Linked DNA regions of Coturnix japonica. The protein of the gene in region 2 purifies or fractionates together with the protein of the main gene of each other region. This does not show direct contact. Links are inferred from orthologs where the notes say so. Each region holds a gene or a part of one and is shown on either strand. Other genes may lie near its edges.

Evidence for each region. Proteins that work in one complex are often made in the same cells at the same time.
Region 1: the proteins of SUMO1 (region 2) and MITF purify together in Homo sapiens (affinity purification with western blotting; 3 studies listed by BioGRID and IntAct, with this or other methods). This does not show direct contact. The link is inferred for Coturnix japonica from reciprocal best matches to the Homo sapiens genes SUMO1 and MITF.

What each region holds. Positions count from the first base shown.
Region 1 is NC_029527.1:12,975,483-12,979,557, reverse strand, and holds part of MITF (microphthalmia-associated transcription factor), read right to left. Parts: intron 1,379-4,075; coding exon 1,261-1,378; intron 1-1,260. UniProt on the Homo sapiens protein: Transcription factor that acts as a master regulator of melanocyte survival and differentiation as well as melanosome biogenesis.
Region 2 is NC_029522.1:10,246,641-10,251,272, forward strand, and holds the start of SUMO1 (small ubiquitin-related modifier 1), read right to left. Parts: upstream 3,000-4,632; 5' UTR 2,879-2,999; coding exon 2,867-2,878; intron 1-2,866. UniProt on the Homo sapiens protein: Ubiquitin-like protein that can be covalently attached to proteins as a monomer or a lysine-linked polymer.

The sequences.
Region 1 (4,075 bases), on a different chromosome or scaffold from region 2:
TCATCTGTAGTGAATCCACCAGTCTAGATATCTGGCAAGCTGGGCATTTAGCTCAGTCTACAGCCACCTGTAGCTTTATATAACTGGAGCAATTAAGTCGCGCGTAACTTAGGACCTTGAGCAGATGTCATTCCCTCCCACCATCCTCTTAACATAGTCTAATATGGTGACCAAGTTTTTCTAACTTCCACAAGTCACTGTGCAGTTACTGTATCTTCCTTTGGCACTGAACTCAAATTCTGTGCTGTTATATAAACACAAATATCCACCAGCTCAGAAATGTGGCATTTCCTCCTGAGAAGCTGACTCCTGAGCTATTAGAATTGCTCTACTTAAACTAATTCCTGACCAGAACCTGCTCTGCAACTGAGTCAGCCTGTGAGTTTTCACAACTGAAAGATAGACAAGAAAACTATGCCTCTACCAGGTCAGCATATAGCACGACTCTCAGCTGGGCTTAAGAACAAACACTTGTGGATATTACAGTGACTTTGTCACTGGTTCTACAACATATCTCCATTTATCTTTTGCAGACAAGTTTGCTTTGTATATCATATCCTGCATGTGGTTACATCCTTTTATCTACAGGCAAAACAAAACAGCAAAAATAAATTAGGCTTGAGAACTCAGAGCTTCCCTTCTAATCCTTTAAACTAAGTTAGTAATGTTCCCATTTCCTCCCCTTAACTCCTGCAGCTTATTCAGATGAGATCAACTTTGCTACTTGAAGAAATGATGTGACAAGAACTTCAGAGGACATTTCATTTTCACCTCAATTCAAAATACTTTCTAGCGTCACATTTCACATGGCGTAGGATGCTGACACCCAAATTCCACATTACAAGTTATTTGTACGTTGCTGTCCCCTACTAGAAGAAACCCTCACCATGAAGCATTCCTCAGCATGAATCCCAGAGAGACTCCAGGTGTCAACTTGTTAAAGTTTAACACTGATCACAGAAATAAGTTCAAACTAGAAGACAGCACTGCAAGAGTTACATGCAAGTTTCCTAAGACACATTTCAAATGAGCAGATCTGACTGCAATAATTAAGGGCATCGTCTTAATTTGTCACAGTGAACCCACACCTAACACAAGCTGTATCACCAAGTAATACATCTGCTGCTAAAGAACTGGCTGCAAAGGAAAACAGAGCTTTTTGTCCATATTTTCTTTATTGTAACAGAAATTATGTCCAAGATCACTTGAATTCAAAACAATTACACCATACCTCTAAGGTGATATTTGAGATGTATTTACCTGTGAGCTCCCTTTTTATATTAGGAAGATTAGCTGGACAGGAGTTGCTGATGTTAAGTCCTGGAGGAGGCATGCTTTGGTTGCCATAAAGGTCAATCAAATTCCCAGACACTGGCAACTGGAAAAGATAAACAAGGAAAATGATTATTTAGTTTGCTCTCATAAAAAGCTTCCCACAGAAGAAATGAGTTAACCTCTGCTAAGAAATCTGTGCACTTTTCCACACACAAACAGAGTTTGTAATAAGGCCAGCAACAGTTTTGCATAATGCACGGGCATGAGGAATAAACCACCTACACTGGGAAAGTTATGTTCTCTCTTTTGAAGAATGTGCAGATATTACTCTTTTTTTTCCTTTTCTTTCTTCCTTTCTTTCTTTCTTTCTTTCTTTCTTTCTTTCTTTCTTTCTTTCTTTCTTTCTTTCTTTCTTTCTTTCTTTCTTTCTTTCTTNTTTCTTTCTTTCTTTCTTTCTTTCTTTCTTTCTTTCTTTCTTTCTTTCTTTCTTTCTTTCTTTCTTTCTTTCTTTCTTTCTTTCTTTTTCTTTTCTTTCTTTCTTTTTCCTTTTCTTTAAAGGAAGCACAGCTCAACTGAAGTTACAAAAAGTCTTAAGAAAGAAGAGGTAACACTGGCTGACAGTAATGTGGTATTTTTCCCTCTTATCTTTCAGTGTACTCCACCCTCATCACTTCTCTTATGCAAAAAAAGTCTGAAAGAGCCTACAGAAAGCTCTCAGAGGATGCCTCCTTTTTTCCAGTACCATCAAGTCGATGCACATTACCTGCTTGACAGAAACCACTACTCATCAATTACATTCTTCATGAGACTTGGAAGCTCCTTGCACTGAAAACATTTTGTAGGTTTCAAGTCAATTTGCTTTTCACCTTGCTCAACAAAAATAAGCACCAGTTGGAAGAAGATGATTCTGACTTTGTTTCTTCACTTACTCGTTGCTTTTGTAATTCATATTTGGGAATGTTTGAACAAAGATATTTATGAAGAAATACTAAGAAATCGTTCCAATAACACTGATCAGAACTACCCCTTTCCATTCAAATAAACCTAAAGAAATTTATATTTCTCCTGAGCTGATCATTTTACCCGTCTACTCTTTGTTTTCAAACTAGCTTTTGAAAAGACAGGTGTAAAACATCTTCATATCTTATCTGAGTGGCAACACCTATCTTTGCTGCAAAGAAAACCAGTCCCTCTGAGACACTGATTCTGCACAGATTAGACTATTAACTTTACACCCGTGTAAATAACGCTGCGGAATACAATGGAGTGAGTCACAGCATAGACTATTAAACTCCTACTGACTGTCCTTGACAGACCGAGACGTAAGAAAATTTATCTGCCATCTAGAGCTACCATAAGAAACAAAGCTGATATGAATTCATTAAGGTACCATCACTTAGAAGGTATGCTGAGATTTGCTGAGCCAAATCCTGAGCAGACAGTGGCCAACAGCAAAAATTATGTCCTCTGACTGACTCTTAAGGTAACAGAGGAAAAACGTACCTGAATTCTCACCAAGATCTTGAGCCACAAATCTACGAGCTCCCCCTTAGCTTCTGAATTCAATACAGAATTGTGTATTAAAAGCACATCAAATAAATCTAATGCCCAGCTGTCCTTCATAATGGTCCTTCCTAGTTGTGGCACACCTGCATTGATGCCACTGCAACTGTCATCTTGCTTGCTGCTCTACAAGGCTCACCCTGATATCTTATGTTCCCTCAATACAGCCATGATAGAGGAGCAGCAACGGCATCATACAGCCTTCTGACTTGGATGTATTTTTTCTATTCATGCTCTTAAGTACGGTGAGAGCACAAAGGACTTGTTTATAAGCCCAGAACTTATAACTTACAACTTATCTTGCAGAAGGCAAAAAATTCCTCTGAAAAAAAATGGAAATTAGCATCTGAAACCATGGGTAAAGAGGTCAGGTTATAATGAAACACGGAGAACAATCAAGGTCACCATGCTGCTTGACTTGATGCAAGATGGACCCCTGCTTCCTACAAGAGGTTTGTGATTTCACACCATACAAGCACCATAGTTGTTAACACTGTGTGAGATTATTATGTAAGGTTCTGCAGGTTACTCACTGGAAGGATTCTGTTAGCCAGGATGCAGTGTGTTGCTCCCTTATTTATCTATAAGCACGTGTTCAGTGACAGTTCTTGAAACACAACTGTTTGCTACTTGTGAGGTTTAGCTTCCACAGGGAAGTCTCCTTTAGAAGTGGAGCAGCATGCACTTGCAAAGTTTTCTGCCAGAAGTTATCGGCTGGATGAACGAGCTGCCATTTCAACTCGACATACGCAAGTATTTTACACAATACCTAGATGTGAGTTAGTAATTGAATTGCTAAGTAGAAAAACCCCTCAGCAAAACCAGTGACCATTCTGTGACACCGTACACCACAGAAGCAAAGCTGGTTAACCTGTGACCCAGTACTAAAGTTTACAAATACATCCATAGGCATTTATTGCAATGAGCCCTTTTCAATTAAGAGGTACTTGGAAATGTCCCTCAGCTTGTTCTACATGTAAACCCCTGATTTTGCTTATCAATTAAGTACTGTTACCAAATGTAACAAACCAGTCCTTTCATTCTTTGTTGGTTACAGAACAATAGCAGCCTTTGTTGCAGTCTCAGCACAGCTATTTATAGGTTGCATCTCTTTAGACCATTTCCTCTCTTGACTTTTTTTCTACCTCTGCTTAGCTCAGTCTACAGACATTTATTCCTCATTAGTAAAACACTGTGTTTTAAGAGCCTATTACAAAAGAAAAGCATGTGTTGCATC
Region 2 (4,632 bases):
CACCTCACTATTAAGATGATTGTTTAAAGCCCAAGCAATTTATTACCCACAAAAGTCAGTGCTGAGACAGAACTTTAGGAAAAGAGAAACAGGGTCAAACCTTTGTTGACAAGAATAATACTTTAATAAAACAACGCAAAAGGTTTGATATCAATACAAGACCTTCCAAGCCTAAAACACCTCTCTTCATTTTGTCAGTGCTAACTACACACAAACAAAAGAATACCCCAATGCTCAGTTCTAACTTTCCATTAGATCTCTGAAGTTTTAAAGACTTTTTTCCAGTCGAACCTATTTGGCTAAAACTAGGTCATAACATATTTAACATAGTCAAAAACATAGTCAAACCCTTTTCACCTAAAGAGCACGAACTGAGGCCCCCAGTACTGTCTCACATTTATGTCAACACTGAATTCATGACCTTAAAGCACCCAAAGCTTCTTGCACTGAGTGTGCCAGGTATTTGCTGCTGTAGCTAACAGAACCACAAAACAAGCATTGTAAGCTTGTGTACTACAAACTTCCTCCTCCAGTTTTCTCTAGTGCTCAGCTTCACTGTCTAAACATACCCAGTCACTTCCAGCTTTTTTAAAACCAGAATTACAGAATGCATACAACTGCAATGCACTTCATTATCCAGCCAATGAACTCTGACATTTGCTGCAGGACTGAGAGAATGTATAAAACTGTGCTGCAGCATTCCACTCGTGGTCCGGGAAGAGACAAACACCTGTGTGCAACTACAGCAAAAACAACACAAGATTCTTCAGAGAAGGGAACCATTCTTCTCTCCTATTCGGACCCACCAAGCAGCCCCTTTTTGCAGGTTGCCCTTCTTACAGTAACTTTCATGATAAAAAAGTACATCTGCCATTGGAAATAAAGTTGCTAAACCAAACATGCTTCTTGATTTATACTAGAAGGGTGGGCCAAAATTCTAACTACTGTCAAATGGCATCTATCCTCTTAATAACTTAATTCTAGGGCCACACGGAACACATTGCAAGCAACACCCAATTTGAGGCTGCAGCAACGGGACAGATCAATATGATGGGAAAGGCATTACAACAACAGTGTGATGATGGAAGGACCAGCACAACAGAAAGGTGATATAAAGGAAAGGAAGATTACTCAGCATATCAGAAGATTCCAGGTTTGCAGAGGAAAGCTCCACCAAGGAGGGATGTCCAGCAAGAGATCCTTCCCCAGTGGCAGTCAGCCCTTCATGGGGTCTAGCAGAGCTGCAGCCAGGCTTCTCCCTTCCTGGTCACACAGCTGAACTGCCTTCACCTGTGTACTCAGGGCTGACTGGGTCCTTTCCCCAGGTGCTCACAGTGGTTCAGGCTGTGATTCAACAGTCCCCATACAGAGGCAAATTATTCTAGTCGATATTATTTCAACTGATTACTTTGATAAACAAGGTTTATCTACAGCTCTGCCTCACTGCACATTGTGGCATTAGGCAGCTGTTAAGCTCTTACTGCAGTCTCCCCAATACAGAGACAGATACATGACAACATTTTGCTTAGCTATTTCCAATAAATCAGTGTGGGCTGTTATTCTAAGACCAAAAAGGTAACCCCATACAGTAAATTTTACATATTTCAAGCAGTTCCAAACACGTATGTGCTTTAGCAGGACTGGGCTGGAGAAAGAATTACTTAATGAAAGCTGCTATGTGTTAAAACATGCCTTAATTCATAAACACAGAGCACTACAGAATGGGTCACGTGAATAACAGCCTACAAAATCTAGTTCAGAATTTGTGCTTTCCTTCTATGCAGCCACTTCCCTGCAGCTCCCTGCGCTGGAGACATGCCCTAATCAGTGCCAGCAACAGCTGCGCTCACAGAGAGAGGCAGGAGCATCCTCACCAACACAGCTGCACAGGGCTGAAAAGCAGCGGATGACCACCAGCACGTACAGCAATAATTTCTATTCACAACCCATAGAGGTTATTCTGCACAGCAGATAAAGCGTATCGAGTTTTGGATATCTGTAATTCCCTGGCTGGCACTGTTACTATTCTCGACTTCACAGCACTGCAAGAAACATTTGTAGATGCTAACGTCGATTTCTCAGAATTCAAACGATCCTGACAAAGTTAGAAAACACTGACATATGAAAGTACTATAAACGACGCAGTCAAACAGAGCACAGATTGGAACTGGAGCGCTGTCGTAGCTCCCAGGCAGCAGGTCACACAGCCCAACGCGACGGATGCGAGCAAAGGGCTGTGTGTGTGTGTGTGTGTGTGTGTGTGTGTGCCTGCCGAGCGAGCCAAGAACTTGCCGTACAAGGAACTATTGAAGTCTCCGGCTGACGGGTCAGAATTGACAACATCACCGCGTACCAGCGGAGGCAAAACAGGGTCTGGGTGAAGGACCGGATGTTTCATACGTGCAAACAACGCCGAACCGGGCAAGTCAGAGTTCACCCCCGCCGCCCCCCCGTCCTCGTTCCTAAGGGAGCCCTCGGCAAGCTCGGCCCAGCCCGCTGCGGGGAGCAGCATCCCACCGCAACAACGGGCAGCGAAAGGAAACCAGCAGCTGCCGCGCGCCGCCCCCATCCCGAGCCGCCCCTTCCCCCTAACGCGAGGAGAGCGCCCCGAGCGGGGCGGGATGGGGGGATTCACCCTCAGCGGGGACGGAGCGGGGCAGGACGCGGAGTCCGACCGAGGCCGGAGCCGTTCCCCCCTCCCCCATCGCGCTCCCCGACGGGACACCCCCGCCCCGCTCGGCCCCGCCGTCTGCAGGGGATGATGCCGGGGGGGTCGGGGGGGCGCGGAGGGAGCGGTTCCCGGCCGGCGGCGGGACCGCGGGGCTTCGTGGCGCCGCTCCCCCCGCGGCCGGGGCCGTCCGCGTACCTGGTCCGACATGGCTGGGCACGGGGCGGGCGGCTGCTCGGCTGGGCCGCTGCGGGGCTCGGCTCCTTTCTCTGCCCGCAGCGCAAACACAGGCCGCGGCGCGGGCGGGATTTCCTGTGCGCCTGAGCTCACTTCCCGCCGCCGGCTCCTCCCCGCCCGAGCGGGGCTCGGCTCAGCTCTGCCCGCCCCGGCTCTGCCCGTCGGCACGAGGGGCCCGACGTGCCCCGCTGCTGGCACCACGCGTAGGGCCCGAGGAACGGAGCTCAGCCCGCCAGCGGGGCCGGCAGCGCAGTGCGACGGGCAGCGGGCAGGGCAGGGCGGCATGGCCGCTGGGGGCAGCGCGGCAGTGCGGTAACGATCCCAACCCCCAACCAGTCGGCTTCAAAACAACGCACGGTACCAACAACGGGACAGACCTCACCCCATTCGCTGTTGGTACTCACAGACAGACACAGCTGTAGCCATGTGCCGGTGTGGCTCTAGCATAAAGCCTGTGTGTGATTCTTAACAACGTTTCCTACGCAGTTTGCAGTTAAAGCGCACGCTCGCTCGAGCCAGAACTCAGCTGCCTTCCCCCATAGAGAACAAAGGCGCGGCTCTGACATGTGCACGGTCGCACAACACGCCGACTCGCCGCTCCGCCTCGTTAAGGAAGTCACAGCCCCGGGGCACGAGGAGCGTTAGCGCTGCGGAGCTGATCCGACCGACCCGCGAGAAAGGAACGCAAAGACCAAGCCCAGGCTTCTCTCCTTTAACTGCATAAACCCTATATCCCATATATTTGCAGTTAAACCACATTAATGCTGCTTTAAAGAAAAACGGAGCACACACACGTAAGGCTCTTATCAGAACACTCAAAGCCATCGCTGCTGCAACCACCTGGGAATTAAGCGAGGCTATTATGGGAAGTATTGCTCCTGCTCTGATTTTCTCCCTGCAACTAATCTCAGTCACTTGGAGTCCCTTCCATTAGCTCAGGCTGAGGTGCGGCTCTACTCGAGGCCATGGATGCAGCTGAGCAGGGAAGGGCCGCAGCATTCCCTCACAATCTGTGGCCCATCTCCTCTGCATAACACCTCTTTCACCAACCAAACACAGGCTCTTGAACATCAGATACAGCCACTTGGCTCCTAACACAGGCTCCTGAACAGCCAGTTGGCTCCTAGTGCTGGCACAGCTGCTCGGGAGCAAAAAGGATGAACATAACACTCTAAGCTCCAGCCTGGGCTGTCAGCACTGAAACAGGGCTTTGAAAGTAGGTGTGTGAACCTGCCTGACCTTCTGCACTGAGCACTGCTTGTTCAGTGACGCTATTAAATGCTCATTATAACACCGAAAACAACCAACTCCCACGGCCATAACGCGAATAACCCCGTTATCGCAGCGCTGCTTCCCCCGCAGCCCCACACGCTGCAGGCCGGACACACGGCGCTGCCTCGTGGCCACCAACCGCGGCCCAGCACCGCCCCCAGCCGGCGGGCAGCGCACGGAGCGAGCCCAACAAAATGGGGGCTGCGCTCAGCACACGGTCACAGCCCATAAGGCCGCTATACGCAAACAGGAGCTCGTAGAGCACAGCTACGAGGCACAGCGCGGTGGAACCTTTAGGGAACCGCCCCGTTACCGGCCGTGCCCAGGGCACACAGTGTCACAGCCGGCAGCCCCGGCCGCGCTCACTGCGCCACGTGGCCTGCGGGAGCGCGCGGAACTGGCTGCCCAGCATTTCCCCTTCCGGTGAGGTCACTTCCGCTGCGCCCACTCTAGTT